4 linked regions of the Mus musculus genome follow. The protein of the gene in region 1 interacts with the protein of each later gene in a pairwise test. Links are inferred from orthologs where the notes say so. Each region holds a gene or a part of one and is shown in the gene's direction. Other genes may lie near its edges.

Region 1 (3,970 bases):
CTCTGATTCGGACACAGCCATTTGTCCCCAGAACACGGAAACCCTTGCAGAAATTTCTAGAAAAGTGCAGCAAGGGATTTGCCACAGGGCTAGGGACCCACTGGCAGATAGGTGATCCCCTGAAGGATCCTCGGCGGGCTGCTGTGGCTGTGGACAGAGGCAGGACTCAGCCTACAGAGCTGCAGGGAGTTTGTCCATTTCATTGGAAGACAACACTAAGAGGACACTTGGATCCTAAGACTCTGTAACAATAACCTAGTTACTCCCAGAATTTATTTTTGAAAGTCAGGGTCTCACTATGTGGCCCTAGATGGCTTAGAACTCACTATATAGACCAATCTAGCCTAGAATTCACAGAGATTTGCCTGCTTGTTCTTTTCGTGGGAATTAGGATGGAGCCCAGGGCACCACAGACGCTTGACGAGGGCGTTACACACTGATTTGCAGTCCCACCCCCACCTTCGTTTTGGGGAGCTGGGCTCAAGCTGTCTTCATGCTTCAGTTGCTGAGGGTCCAGGAACTTTTTCTTTTCGAAGAAGCCACATGAAGACTCAGGGCCACCCTTGGTAGGAGGCAGGAAAGCGAAGGGTCGTTGTCCACCCATTTTCCGTGTTTCTCCCTATCTCTGGGTCACCAGATCACACTCCAGGACTTCTGCCTCTGTCTTCACACCCTGGCCCGCTACCACCCATCTAACACCCACACTTTTGTCTTCTCAGCCTTCAGCCCATCAGTCCAATGCTCTGCCCCAAGGCCGATCCAGACAGACCCTCCTCTTCCACCCCTCTCCCCACCCCGCTGTCTTTGTCCGCAGTCACCTTCTGTCTCTCTCCGCTGCCCTCCTGGATCCCTCCCCTCTGTCCAGTACTCTGCCTGATCCTAGGCCCCTGCCCTTAATCCCTCTGATCCCAGCCCCAGACTTTATGGGCCCCTCCCCCTCCTTCAAAAGCCACGCCCTCCCCACTTCCTTCAGTTGCCTCCCACTGGGTCCCCCCTTCAGAAGTTCCTCCTCTTGACCTCCTGGTGCCCTCCCCTTCCTCTGCCCTTTCACCCCGCCCAACTCCCCCCTCCATGTCCGCCCTCCTCTTCTTCCCTCTCGGGGTCCCCTCCCTCTTCCCCGCCCTCCGTAGCTGGCCAGCAGGGGGCGCTGGGCAGAGGCGGGGCGGCGCGGGGACTGGCCGCGATGGGACCGGAGGCGGCGCAGACAAAGGCGCGGGCGGCGCGGGGCGCGCGGAGGGCGCGGGCCGGAGGCTGCAGCGACGACGACGCGGGGTGAGCCAGACAGGGGGACCCCAGCTTCCGAGGCACAATCAGGGAGTCGGGGGCGCAGGAAACGCAGACGGTTTCCAAAGTTGCGGACTGTGAGGCGGGGCCCAGGAGCTGCGGGGTGCAGGCTGAGGGGTTGGGATCCTGGGGTGCCGGCTAGGGGGCCGGCTCAGGTGCTGGCTGGGGCGCGGGGCGCGTCTTCACCGGGTTCCTCAGCCGAGGTCCGGGTGTTGGGGACGCCGCATCGCGAGGCTCCGCCACTTAGAAGTTGCGGGTCAGCGGCTCCCGTAGTTGCCCTCACGAGCTGCCCTGGAGGGAGTGGGAACCGGTGCCAAATGGGAAGCCGGCGTGGGGCTCCTGGCAGGGTCCCCGCCGCGCGCGATCGCGGTTCTCCGCCCCGCGCCTCTGCTCCAAGGCGCGTGACTACTCAGTGAGTAACTTTTCCTGATGGTGGCAAGTCCAGGCAGGAGTGGTCCGACCGGAAGGGCCTGGGTTCGGGGACCCCTTTCCCCCAATCTCCGCCAGTTCCATTAGCGTCTCTGACTGGACAACCCCCCTACCCTCCCTCTGTATGGGAACTTAGGTTTCGCAGCTTCCCAAGACAGCTTGGAGGGGCCCTGACCTCAGACCCCGGGTCTTGACCTCCCGCACCCGCAGGACCCTCCTTCTCCTCCAATCTCCTTAGTTGAAATTTGGGGGACTTAGGAGAATGACAGGTGCAAGCGTTCATAGGAGGCTGGGGAGCTCCGTTCTCCCGGTCCTGTTCCCTGTTCACATGGTGGGGACTAGGATGAACCGCTGTGTGCAATGCGTGCTTGTGTGTGTGTGTGTGCCTGTGCGTTGAGACATGGTCCCACTCTGTAGCCCAGGTTGGCTTCAAAGTCTCCTCATTCTCCCCAGTGCTGGTGCCACCATACCAGGCTTTCATTTTTTCCTTTTAAGTAAGCTCCCTGGAGACTCAGACACAGAGTTATCTGGGCTAAGTGGTCCTTTCTCTCTCTCTCCTCTCTCTCTCTCTCTCTCTCTCTCTCTCTCTCTCTCTCTCTCTCTCTCTCTCTCTCTCTCTCTCTCTCTCTCTCTCTCTCTCTCTCCTCTCTCTCTCTCTCCCTCCCTCCCTCCCTCCCTCCCTCCCTTCCTTCCTAGAGTTATTTATTTTATTTATACAAGTACACTGTAGCTGTCTTCAGACACATCAGAACAGGGCATCCAATCCCATTACAGATGGCTATGAGCCACTATGTGGTTGCTGGGAATTGAACTCAGGACCTCTGGAAGAGCAGTCAGTGCTCTTACCCACTGAACCATCTCTTCAGCCCCGAAGTGGTCCATTTGTGGGATCAGCGAGGTCCTGATTTTCCTGTTAGGTCCCTGGAAGCACTCCACTTTTACTCCTTGAGATGGGTTTATCCCTCCATGATGACCAGGGAGGCCTTGAACTCCTGGGATGCATGATCTAACCGCCTTGGCTTTCAGATAGATAAAACCACAGGGCCTCACCACGGATCCAGCTTTGTCCCACATTTTGATGCAAGGCCCTCTGGGAGGAGAGGGGGGCTGTTGGATGGGAGGGGATGAATGAGATGTTCCACTCGGTTGATCTTGACCTCATGTTCAGTTCCTGTGGGAGGACACTTGCCCAGTGGTGGGTAACCTGGACAGTGAGTATAATCCTGCGTGCCAACAACCAGGCTATTCTCCAAGCCATATCCTACCTACCCTTGCAGTTTGGTGGCACTGTATCACCTCTCTGGTGACACTAGAGATCTAGAGATCACTCAGTCCAGTTGTGGGGGCTTCTCCCAAAAGCAGGGCCTTTTGTTTATGCCTACAGCTCAGTTGATAGAGAGCTTGCATGGGATGCAGGATGCTCTGGGCTCCATCCTCAGCACCACATGAACCAAGAATGATGGCACAAGCTGCCGTCCCAGCATTTAGGAGGTGGAGGCCAGAGGATCAAGAGTTCAAGGTTGCTGTTGGCTGCAAAGTGATTTCAAGGCCAGTCTGGGCTGGGACTGAGGAAGTGGGTGTCTGACCAGCAGCTGCTCCTTTCCTGCCTCGCTGGTTTTGTGAAGTCACCTGGAGGACCCACTTGGCCTGAGTATCCTTGGAGCCTTACTCACAATCTTCTTCTTTCCCTAGGGGACAAACAAGTGACTCCTGTCACCCCTCTGGGTGCCCCTTAGAGGCCATCCAGCCCAACCTGACCAATGTCCACAGCCAGGTGAGCACTCACCCACTCTGGTCTGGCCTTGCCCCTGGGTGGCATCAGACTCCTGCAGAGTTTCTGTCCCTGCTGTAGGGAACAGCCAATCTTCAGCACCCGGGCGCACGTATTCCAGATCGACCCCACTACAAAGCGGAACTGGATCCCCGCCGGCAAGCACGCACTTACCGTGTCCTATTTCTATGATGCAACCCGAAATGTGTACCGCATCATCAGCATCGGGGGTGCCAAGGTCTGAGCAGGGGTTTGGGGGCAGGTGTGCAGCCACCAGCCAGGCTGGGTGACTTGGGAATCAACGATCCTTTCCCAGACCTAACGTCTTCCAGAAATAACTCAGTGGTGGGGTCTCCGAGAAGGGACAAGAGTTCTACTGCAGCCCTTCACTGGGGGATTCTAGGCAGGGGCTCCACCTGTATGCCTTCCGATAGCTCCTCACTGGGGGATCCTAGGTAGGGATTAGCTACTAAGACAGATGCCTAG
Region 2 (3,500 bases), on another chromosome or scaffold:
CCAAAAGAGGCTGTCGGGGTGGAAGGCTGTGTCCGCAGCTCTGGGTGATGGCTGGGGTGGTGGTACAGCTCAGATTCTTACATGACCACGCAGAGGTACAGCGGGGTAGTGGCATCCTTGGGCTCTTGGTAAGTTGTTTAGACCCAAGCTCTTAAACCTTAAATGTGAGTGTGAATCATGAATCACCTGAGAGCATGTTTAAATACAGGTTCCCATCTGTCAGGTCTGGGCAGGGGCGGTGAGTCTACCCATCTCACAAGCTTCTGGCCAGTGCTTCAGGTCAGGAGCACACTTAGGCGAGTGGGGTCGAAGCCTGGCATGCACCATGAGCACGACACTCACTGTGTAGGTAGCACTTAGCACACACTGTCACCTTTGCCTGCAGACAAGTATTCCTCTCAGTTCGGTGGGGGAAGTCAGTATGCATATTTCCATGAGGAGGATGAGACAAGCTTCCAGCTGGTGGACACGGCACGGACACAGAAGACCGCCTACCAGCGGAACCGGATGAGATTCGCACAGGTAGGCCACGGCTGGCAGCCCACACTCAGCTCTCACTGAGAGCAGAAGTTCCTGCTGCTCAGCCGCCATCTTGGGAATACTGATGAGAAAGGAAAGGCTTACAGACCTTTGGCCAATCCCAAGTGGCAGTTTAGTGACCAGTTGTGTCAGAATAATGTGAAACGGGTCTAGGAATACATTGAAGGAGTTTAGATTTTTGTTCACAGTAGTTCAGACATCACACAGCTGTGCTGGGAACCCAGTGCCTTGCTGACTTGTCATGTACAACCTTTGTTAATTACATGGTTTGGTAGGGTGCCTCCTGCTACATAATGTTGCAAACTTTGCAACTCCAATAAAACTAGTAAACCCACATTAAAGTGGGAATGACAGTCCAAGCTAACACAAGTGCTACTCCCCTTAGCCCAAATTCTGTAGTCGCTGTAGAGTAAAAGTAAAGAGATGTGAAACTTAGAACTCACGCCGTAAACTTACTCTCAAGATACCATGAGCCTTGTCTCCGAGGGGCTAACATGGGTCTCTTCCTGCTCCCCAGCGCAACCTCCGCAGAGACAAAGATCGGAGGAACATGGTGCAGTTCAACCTACAGACCCTGCCCAAGAGTGCCAAGCAGAAAGAGAGGTGAGCGTCCCTTCCTGCCAAGTCAGAGTTATGTTCCCAAATGGGCTGTACTCAAAATCACAGAGCAGGGCAGGGACTGGCTATCTTTCACTCTTGAAAAAGAAAGCAAAACCTCCTCACCTATTGCTGCCCAAGACTGGGCAATGGCAGACAGACAGGAGGTGGGTGAGGCGGACATTTGAAGTGGCTCTGTGGCCTCTACATTCTGGATGCCTGGTTTCAGGCAGCACCACTTATGCTATATCCTGTGGGCCCTTGGGGCTGGGCACAGCAGCCACTGCACCCTAGCCAGGGCTGCCATGGGAGTAACTGGGCTGAATGCTGGTTGATACTAGTAGTGCGCCTCTGCTCGAATCCCCAGTGTGTTCTACATCTAAGCCCCTATTTTCTATCCTGGTAGCAGCTAGGAAGGATGATGCGATTCAGCTAGAAGCCGACACTGAAATCACAGCATTTTGTCTGTCTTTTCAGAGAACGAATTCGCTTGCAGAAAAAATTCCAGAAGCAATTTGGAGTGAGGCAAAAATGGGACCAGAAGTCACAGGTAGTGTCCCTCTAGGGACTCTGTGGGGACTTGGAGGGGTTTGTTTTCTTTGACCTTGAGAGATGTCTCGGGACTCCCCTGATGCCCGCGGGCATTTCATGTACAATAGGATCATACTCTGTGCCCTTTAGTTAGTGTGCCACTTTTAAGATCATATCGCAGCCCGTGTTAGCACAGTCTTTTCACTTTTCCTTCATGTCTGTTAAGGATTGGTTCCAGGTACCCTCAGAGATCAAGATTTGTGTGCACTGACCTTCTCTGCATGTATCTCATGTGTGTCCCCTCGTGGACTTTAGCTTGCCTCTGGATTATATATTTGGGTTGAAAGTATCATTTTAACTCTCGGGTGATCCTCCTCTGTCAGCCACCCAGTAGGTGGGATTTCCAGTATGCTGAGCATCCAAGAATTTTCAGTTTACATGTGACTGGTTATAGACCTGCTGGTATAAAGCTCACAAACATGGAGTCTTTTTGCCCAAGAGTGGTTTTTTTGTATGGGTTGCCACATTTCCTTCAGCCATTCATCTTTCCACTTTGGCACTGTTAGGTATAACACTGCCATCTTTGTGGGAGCTGTGAGCATAACAGACATGACCAGAAGTGGAGTTTGGGCTAGGAGTGTTGCCAACAGCAAAGCAGCTGCTTTTCGGGCACAGAATCGCGGCTTCACTGCCGAGTGTTGTAGGGTGATAAAGTCGTGAAGGTGCAGGTTGACTTAGCTGCTTGCTGTATCGGGCGTGTGCTTGACACCCTGAGAAGCCCCATGCTGAGGCCCTGCTTCCTTCTCTGAGCTGCCAGGAGTCACGGGCCCTGCTTAAAAACAGCCAGGACCAGACTAATGAGATGACTCAGCTTTTTAGAGCACTGGCTGCTCTTCCAGAGGTCCTGAGTTCAATTCCCAACACCCAGGTGGTGGCTCATGCCCATCTATAAAGGGATCTGACGCCCTCATCTGGCCTGCAGGTGTACATGCAGCAGAGAACCCAGAGATCAAATAAATACAATGAACTTAAAAAAAAAAAACATCCGGGACCATAATGATTGAATGAAAGCCCTTCCCATGTCACTCTGTCTTTTGCTATTTGCGTAGGATATGAAGATCTTCCTGTGTTTCCTCTGCAGAAACCCCGAGACTCCTCAGTTGAAGTTCGCAGTGACTGGGAGGTGAAGGAGGAGATGGACTTCCCTCAGCTGATGAAGATGCGCTACTTGGAAGTGTCAGAGCCTCAAGACATGTGAGTAGCTTCTTCCCTGGTGCCCACCCTGTTTCAGAGTCTGTCTGCCTGCCAGGGATCAGTGTCTCCTTAAGTCCTAGCAACTCCAAAGCAGATTTGAAGCCACTTACAGTGCTATGGACTGGTGGGTATGTTTTTGAAAGATCAAGACCCACTTTAAAAAATGCATTGTTTACTAAAAAAGTCCCAGTTTCTTTCCACTTTTGGCATCCGAGAAAAAGCCCAGTAGTTCAGTCACTAAGCTCCTGCAGCAGGAGAGGCGTGACAGTTGTTCAGGAGACTCCATTTTGTGTAGCATCGTACACTAGAGGGCAAGGACATAGAGCTAAGTCAGTGGAGAGCCAGAGCTTCAACCCAGAAGTCGATCTATCTGGGTGCCTCTATAATGGGCTCAGTTTCCCAGGGAAGGTTCACTGTGTAAGGTCTTTCCCTGTGTTCTACAGAGGAACATTGGGAGCTGCGAAGACAGGAAACTAAACTAACACTAAAGATTTGTCTCATTTTCAGAGGGATTAATGCTGTCTCTTTCATATATACTGAACTTCTGGGTGAAGTTTATTTTCTGAGATGGACCCTCC
Region 3 (3,500 bases), on another chromosome or scaffold:
GGAAATCTTGGATTTCTTTGCTTTATTCAGTGAATATTTTCATTTGCTTTTTGAAGTTAAATAGTATGATAACACGTAGAGAAACATTTTGTCAGCAAACACATTACAAAAAAAAAAAATGATGGTATAAATTTCTTTATTTCTCCTCTCCGTCTTCTTCTATCCTTTCTATCTCCTCGGTTTGGAATAGAATCCAGGGACATATCCAGCGTAAGGCATGCAAACTTCTTTTAGTTTTATGGAGTGTGGGTGGGAAGGGGAGGGGAGTCAGGAGTCCGAGGTTGGAACGGGACCAACGGTGACAGTCACGGCTTGGATGGTTAATTCTCCCATTTTGGATTATGTGGATGAAAGAGTTATTTATTTCTGCCCAACACCTGGTTCTTATAACTCATTTGTTCTACACAACATAAAGCAGATAATAATAAAGTTTTATAAGCCTAATACATGATTTAAAATGCACACAGTTAAAAGAATCGTGGTTTAGGTCACTATCTATGTATTATGGTAACAAATAGAATAATAAGTGGCTTATTTTTGGTTTGGTTTGGTTTTTTTGAGACAGAATTTCCTCTGTGTAGCCCTGGCTGTCCTGGAACTCACTTTGTAGACCAGGCTGGCCTCGAACTCAGAAATCACCTGCCTCCGCCTCCCAAGTGCTGGGATTAAAGGGGTGCAACACCACTGCTCAGCAATAAGTGGCTTAATAATGCCTTAAAGAGTGCTTAATGAATGAAATGTAAAAAAGATGGATCTTAATTTCTTTAAGAATCTGAATGTTAAGGAACAAATATTTAATGATGCGCACCTCTGGCGACAGCTCACATTATAGAATGCGCCATTTCGTTGGGACAAAAGTTAATGGGTTTTGTTCTATTTCTGAAGAGTTCCGTGGACTCAGGAAAGTTGGGTATTCACACGGGAATCACGTAAGCTGTGGATCTTACCCTTCTTGGTCCATACAGCCTTTTGAGAATAGTGAAAGCTACAACATATCTCTCTTGAGGATAACCCGGTGGAAATGTCAGAGACGCATTCCTTCCTTAAACCTAGCTTCAGCCACATTCCATGTCTTCTATTCCAGAAAGCACCAATAGTCCACTTCCCAAATAAAGCACCTCTTTTAGACAACCTTTGAAAGTTACTCAGATGCGTGATAATCATTTGTGCGCTCTCTCTTTCTCTCTCTAGACTACTTTGCTGTATTGCCCTAGCTCTGTAGATCTGCAGACATTAGCAGATTGGAACTCTTCTCCCATCAGCCACCAGTTTGATGTGATCAGCCCCTCACACATTTGGATATTTGCACATGTGACCCAAGGCCAAGACCCATGGATTATAAGTCTCTCCAGTTTCCTAAAGCAAGAAAACCTTCCCAAACACTGCTCTACAGCCGTGAGCTATGCGTGGATGTTCGCATACACCAGGCTGCAGCTCTTGTCCCCCCAGGTGGATATAAAGTAAGTGCTTTGAATAAAGCACATTTCACAATGGGTAGTCAGCTTTCATGATGTGTGCTTTTGAAAAGTGGCACACACTGGAAATTCTCTGAGTTGTGTTATAATATGGAGCATGGAAAAGGCGTGAAGGCTATAAACTCATAGAGCTCTCTGTCCTACCCATTCTGTCCCACATGATAGGCCTCGAATACTTTATTCATGTCTCTCTCTGGTCCTTCCACAGAGACTGAGTACTTGCAATAAAACTTTATAATAGCAATGTCCTTTTAAATTGGTACATAAAAACTTTCTAAATGTGTGTGCACTTGATAGTTGCTGAAGAGAGAGAGTCACTCGGTTGAGGGCATGACTACTGGTAGGTGCTCCAGTCAGTGCTCACATGTGAGCAGTGGTAACTGGACCTGGGGGATGGGTTTATTAATAACGGGAAAAGAGGAAGACAAAGTTGGGAGGGCAACAGTGTGGTAGACGGACGGAGGCAATGATGGGTAAATATAAACAAGGTGCATTGAGTTGTGAAATTTTCAAATAAAATTATTACTTAAGGAAGACGTGTGCGATTTCTACTTCTTTTCTTTTTTTTTTCCAGTAGCCCCATCAATGCTAAGAAAGTAAATGCCACCACGAGCAGCGACTCGTACATTGGCCTGTGGAGAAACTACCTGGTCCTCTGCTGCAGCGCAGCCACCTCCCCGTCCCCATCAGCACCCGCAGGCTCCGTGAGATGCTCTCCTCCCGAGACGCTGGCGTCCACCCCTGACAGTGGCTACAGCATCGATTCCAAGGTGGGCCTTTCTCATCCTCTGTGGAATCCCAGGGATTCCACCAGAGGGATGTCTTAAGTTTCTTCTCATGGAAAACATCATAAAGAGCTTGAAGAATTCATCTTTCATTTTCACTGGGTGGGGGGGAAAGTACTTCAAGAAATTCTATTTTTATTTTTGTAGATTCCTAGTTAGAATCAAGAATAAGAGGTTTTTCCCTTGGCTAAAGGGATCACATTCATAGAAATAGCATACTGAATGTTTTAAAGGAAGTCATAAGGCATGTTTCTTCTTACTCTGCCTCCCAAGCCATTACACTTCCCATTGCCAACAGGAGTCATTCATTCATTTATTAGTTCATTGATTTGCTCATTCATTCATTTGTTAGTTTTATGAGACAAGTTTCACCTATAACCCAGGCTGGCTGAGAACTTAACTGTGCGACCTGAGCTAGCCTCAGACTTCCAGCAGTCTTCCTGTCTTAGCCGCCCCAGTCCTGGGATTACAGGAGTGAATGTCCATACCTTGTTCCAGAAAACATGATCTAAGTACTTAGATGCTCTTACAGAACTTGCCTAAATGACACAAGAACACAGTGGCTATCGGAGACGAACCATTAAATAGACTTCATGGTAGGAAGCGAGGCATCATGGCATGGTTGAAGGAAACTGAGTGTCCGGATTTTGTCTTTCTGTGTTTGTGGCTCTAAAGACAGGAAACCTCTGGCTGGGTCCATGGACTGTTATGTGGTGCTGGGTCTTCCTCTAAGAAGTACAGAGACCCACACACAAGTTCTGTGAATGAACTTGAAGTAAGCCAACAAGCAAGCCATTTAGCTTTTCTAGGTTCCGTACACTGAAAACTAAGTTTGATTCAGCATTCTTGTTTGCCACAAAAAATGTCATCTATTCATTGTCTTTGACCACAGGTTGTTGAAATGTCAGGTTATTTCGCTGGCTATGTAATTGTTAATGCCATTCTGATTTTTTCCCTCAGATCGTTGGCATCCCGTCCCCTTCTTCCCTGTTTAAGCACATAGTTCCAATGATGCGCTCTGAGAGCATGGAGATCACAGAGTCCCTCGTTCTAGGCCTCGGCAGGACCAACCCGGGAGTCTTTAGGTAACTTTCTTCTTACGTTCTCTCTGTGATAGAATAAAAAGTGTGCCCATAAGCGAGGCGGAGCAGGATGGAATAGAGGCTAAGTTTCCTTCCAGCCCTGACTTCTCCACTTTGCCATGCAGATGGCAAGTCAGTACATTTGAGCCATCTCTTTC
Region 4 (3,500 bases), on another chromosome or scaffold:
ATATATAACACTTATCCCAAGCAGTTCTGGAGAAAAGGGCCCTATGTGCCCTGCATAGCAATAGCAGCTCCTGAACATAGAACAGCCAGAAGGCAGGCCAGGAGCCAGAGTGACATCTCTATATTTAGTAAGGGATCCGGTGCAGGCTGATGGTCCTAGGCAGGAACCAAAGTTTGGAACACTCAGCTAATTTAGGGGTGAAGAACTCAGTTAAAAGCTGCACCAAAGACTTGGAAGAAAAGACTTTGTACTGTAAGGCTCTCTTCAGGGCAGCACTGTGAGTCTGGGGTGGTAGCTCAGTGATAGAGGTCTTGCCTTGCACGCATGAGGTCTTAGGGTCAATTCCCAGTTCAGCCAAAGGAAAACAGAAGGGAGACCTGTGTTTGCGTTCACGACACCTTGGGCTGGGGAGATGGCTTGAGGAAATGAAGTACTCAAGCAGGAGGACTGGAGTTTGGGTGCCTCAGAACCCATGTAAAAACCATGGCAGACATGGCAGCTGCTGTGAGCCCACAGTCACAGATAAGGACATGGTATCCCCTGGGCAAGCTGTCTAGCTAGACTTAGTTGGATTGAGCAAAAGAACCTGCCTCAAAAAAGAAAAGTGGAGAGTGATTGAGGAGGGAGCCTGATGTCAGCTTTGGGCTTTTAGGTGCATGTAGATACACACATGCACCTGTACCTATTTCTGCCCACACACAGAAAACACGAGAAAACACGTGTACATGCACACACACACAGAAGAAATAAACAGAAAACAGTTAGACTAGAAAAGCTCCTTAGTACGTGTCACGGCTCTGTCCTCAGACACAGCAAGTTCTGTAACTGGTGACAGAGTGCAGACTGCAGCAAACCTGGAAGCCCTGGAGCAGAGGGAACAGCCTTTTCATCTGAACTCCTGTTTCATTACATGTTGCCCATGGAAGATTACATCATCTCCCATTGGACCTGAGTTTCCCAAGTGAAAAATGAAGGGGTTAGGTACATGGTCCCTATGCACCCTTCAGACTTAAGTTTCTACTGTGCAGTTAAGGGGCTGAAGAGCCAAGCAATTTAGTTTGCTGTTGTTTTGTTTTGTGCTTCTATAAATTCTGAACAACAAGTTAAATCTTATATTTAACAAATATTAAATCAGTGTCCAGTGTAGGAGCCCATTAGTGGGCTCTAAGAATTAACTTTAAACCAAATGAGTACATTTCCTGATGTTGTGCAGCTTAGGGTCTGGAATTTAAATATAGGAATATATAGTAGCTGCTGGATACGATGCTTTCCTGTAATCCTAGCCTTTGAGAGGTGGAAGCAAGGTGGTTGAGAGTATAAGGCTAGCATGGGCTACGTGAGACCCTGTTTCAAAACCAAACCAAAATAAACACTTGTGGAAAACCAGAGAAGAGTTATTTGAACTTAACAGAAGATCGAGTAATTTACATAGTGTCAAAATATAGCAGGCAGAAGGCCAGTTTCAGCCCTGAAGCAGGAAAAAGAGCCTCTTACTTCCTAAAGACCTCAGAGCCCAGAGATGGGTGGTGGGGTCAGGCCCTGCCTTAAATTCATTATCCTTTGCCTTGCGAGCAGCATGGGAGCCATTGAAAGGCTTGGGGTGATGGCTAAGTAACATGGGCTCCACTCACTCAGCTGAAGGGCTGGCCACCCTTGGAGAAAGCTGCCTGGGTTATTTGCATGAAGGGGAAGCCCTGGGCTCTTCCATTACAAAGAAATACAAAGATCACTCCCTCCTCTAACCAGTTAGTAATAGCTCTGTGTAGTGTAGGGCAAGGTGAATTGTCCTCAGTTTGGGCATTGCTGTTCTTTGAACTATTTGCCCACATTAGTAAAGAGTTGCCTAGTAGCTTAAAGTTTTTATGTTCTATTTCTTGAATCCCTAAAACCAGGTGCTTACTATAACTGCTCCTTTCTTTTGCCTGGAAAGCTGGGGGAGTCAGACAGAGATCAGTCATCTGCCCCTTCTGCGCAGGTCTGATGATGGATTAGGGGACCGTTCGTAATTGGTGTATTTATCTTATACTTTTGTGGCAAACAGGGGTCCACGCCGCCAATGACGGTGTTCAAAGGGAACAAGCGGCCCTATCAGAAAGACTGTGTGCTCATTATTAACCACGACACTGGAGAGTATGTGCTGGAGAAGCTGAGCAGCAGCATTCAGGTCAAGAAGACAAGGTATGGCCAACCTCCGCGTTCTCCCTTCCTCTTGTACTGTAGGGATTGAAACCGGGGTCTCCTGTGCTGGCAGGTGCCCGTTCTCCTAAAGAATAGCCTTAAGTGTTTCGAAATCTTTATGGCATTCAGTCCAGTTTTATAAGAGTGTGAACATCTCCTTGCTCATTAGTGTTCAATCAGTAATATTAGCCACTCCTGTCTCAGATACATCAATAATAAAATGTACATTTTTTTCAAATACAGTAAAAAGAAATAATGCTTTTGAAAGCTAAAACATGAAGCCTTTGGGGAGAACAGGGTATTTATAATTGAGCCAATTTTGTCAGACTCATAACTGCTCTTATACTATCAAGTAGGGGATTCAGTTTATATGTATAGACTGAAAAATACAAAATAATAATTGCATGACCTTATTAAATTACTGCTTGTAAATTAGGATATATTTGATGTGCCTATACTATCAAAATGAAACGTCGTCTACTATGTATGGTGGGTCCTACTGTAAGTGCAGTACTGGAGAGTTGGCGCACCAGGATCAAGAGTTCAAGGCCCTCTACAGCTGCAGAGTGACTTTGAAGCTGGTCTGAATTGCAGGAGACCCTGTGTCAAAACAAAAACAAATAACAGTGGTCTTGCAAGATTGCTAAGTGAATAAAGGCGTTTGCCACCAAGTCTAATGACTTGAGTTCAGTCTTCAGGACTCACGTGGTAGAAGACCTAGCATAAATACAACTATAATTTTAAAAACTTAAAAACAATAACCAAAAAAAAACCTTTCCTACTTTTAAAATAGTGAACTTTTGGGTTCATTCAATATTAGAGTTTATTTGAAAGTCAATATATTCTATAACTGGAATACAATAATTATTGTAAGATAATGATTAAGGTTTTTGTCGGGGAGGGCACTAGGCATCAAATGCAGAGAGAGAGCTTTGCACATGATAGGCGAGTGCCCTCACCACTGAGCAAAATCACAAGTCCACTAAAGAGAGGGGGTTTTCTTCATTAAAATATATATATATATGTGTGTGTGTGTGTGTGTGTATATTTTTTTTTTACATCCCAGTCACAGTTCCCCTCCCTCCTCTCCTCTCAGTCCTCCCCTCCCCCTCCTTCTCACAGAACACTAATTAGATTTTAAGAGACTATTGCAGCTTGATGTCTGTTTCTGTTTTTCTTTCCCTCATTTCTCTAGAAAAGGAAACAGCCCCCATTTATTGAGATTATCGTGGGCCAGTATGTTTTAGGTGTAACACACCTAATCTTTTCCAGTAGTCGTAGAAAAGTGCTATTCTTTTGGAGACTGGGGGTTACAGAAGTTG

Evidence for each region.
Region 2: the proteins of Homer3 (region 1) and Eif3d interact in binary tests that used the Homo sapiens proteins (3 or more experiments, as listed by UniProt). The two-hybrid records come from large-scale screens. The link is inferred for Mus musculus from reciprocal best matches to the Homo sapiens genes HOMER3 and EIF3D.
Region 3: the proteins of Homer3 (region 1) and Fryl interact in binary tests that used the Homo sapiens proteins (3 or more experiments, as listed by UniProt). The two-hybrid records come from large-scale screens. The link is inferred for Mus musculus from reciprocal best matches to the Homo sapiens genes HOMER3 and FRYL.
Region 4: the proteins of Homer3 (region 1) and Eaf1 interact in binary tests that used the Homo sapiens proteins (3 or more experiments, as listed by UniProt). The two-hybrid records come from large-scale screens. The link is inferred for Mus musculus from reciprocal best matches to the Homo sapiens genes HOMER3 and EAF1.

Annotation. Positions count from the first base shown.
Region 1 is NC_000074.6:70,281,829-70,285,798, forward strand, and holds the start of Homer3 (homer protein homolog 3), read left to right. Parts: upstream 1-1,170; 5' UTR 1,171-1,183; coding exon of another isoform or gene 1,184-1,272; exon of another isoform or gene 1,273-1,696; intron 1,697-3,405; coding exon of another isoform or gene 3,406-3,473; coding exon 3,474-3,487; intron 3,488-3,565; coding exon 3,566-3,722; intron 3,723-3,970. UniProt on the Homo sapiens protein: Postsynaptic density scaffolding protein. Binds and cross-links cytoplasmic regions of GRM1, GRM5, ITPR1, DNM3, RYR1, RYR2, SHANK1 and SHANK3.
Region 2 is NC_000081.6:77,964,325-77,967,824, reverse strand, and holds part of Eif3d (eukaryotic translation initiation factor 3 subunit D), read left to right. Parts: intron 1-385; coding exon 386-522; intron 523-1,057; coding exon 1,058-1,143; intron 1,144-1,614; coding exon 1,615-1,687; intron 1,688-2,809; coding exon 2,810-2,922; intron 2,923-3,500. UniProt on the Homo sapiens protein: mRNA cap-binding component of the eukaryotic translation initiation factor 3 (eIF-3) complex, a complex required for several steps in the initiation of protein synthesis of a specialized repertoire of mRNAs.
Region 3 is NC_000071.6:73,096,119-73,099,618, reverse strand, and holds part of Fryl (protein furry homolog-like), read left to right. Parts: intron 1-1,191; coding exon 1,192-1,460; intron 1,461-2,049; coding exon 2,050-2,245; intron 2,246-3,220; coding exon 3,221-3,345; intron 3,346-3,500. UniProt on the Homo sapiens protein: Plays a key role in maintaining the integrity of polarized cell extensions during morphogenesis, regulates the actin cytoskeleton and plays a key role in patterning sensory neuron dendritic fields by promoting avoidance between homologous dendrites as well as by limiting dendritic branching.
Region 4 is NC_000080.6:31,498,079-31,501,578, forward strand, and holds part of Eaf1 (ELL-associated factor 1), read left to right. Parts: intron 1-2,041; coding exon 2,042-2,178; intron 2,179-3,500. UniProt on the Homo sapiens protein: Acts as a transcriptional transactivator of ELL and ELL2 elongation activities.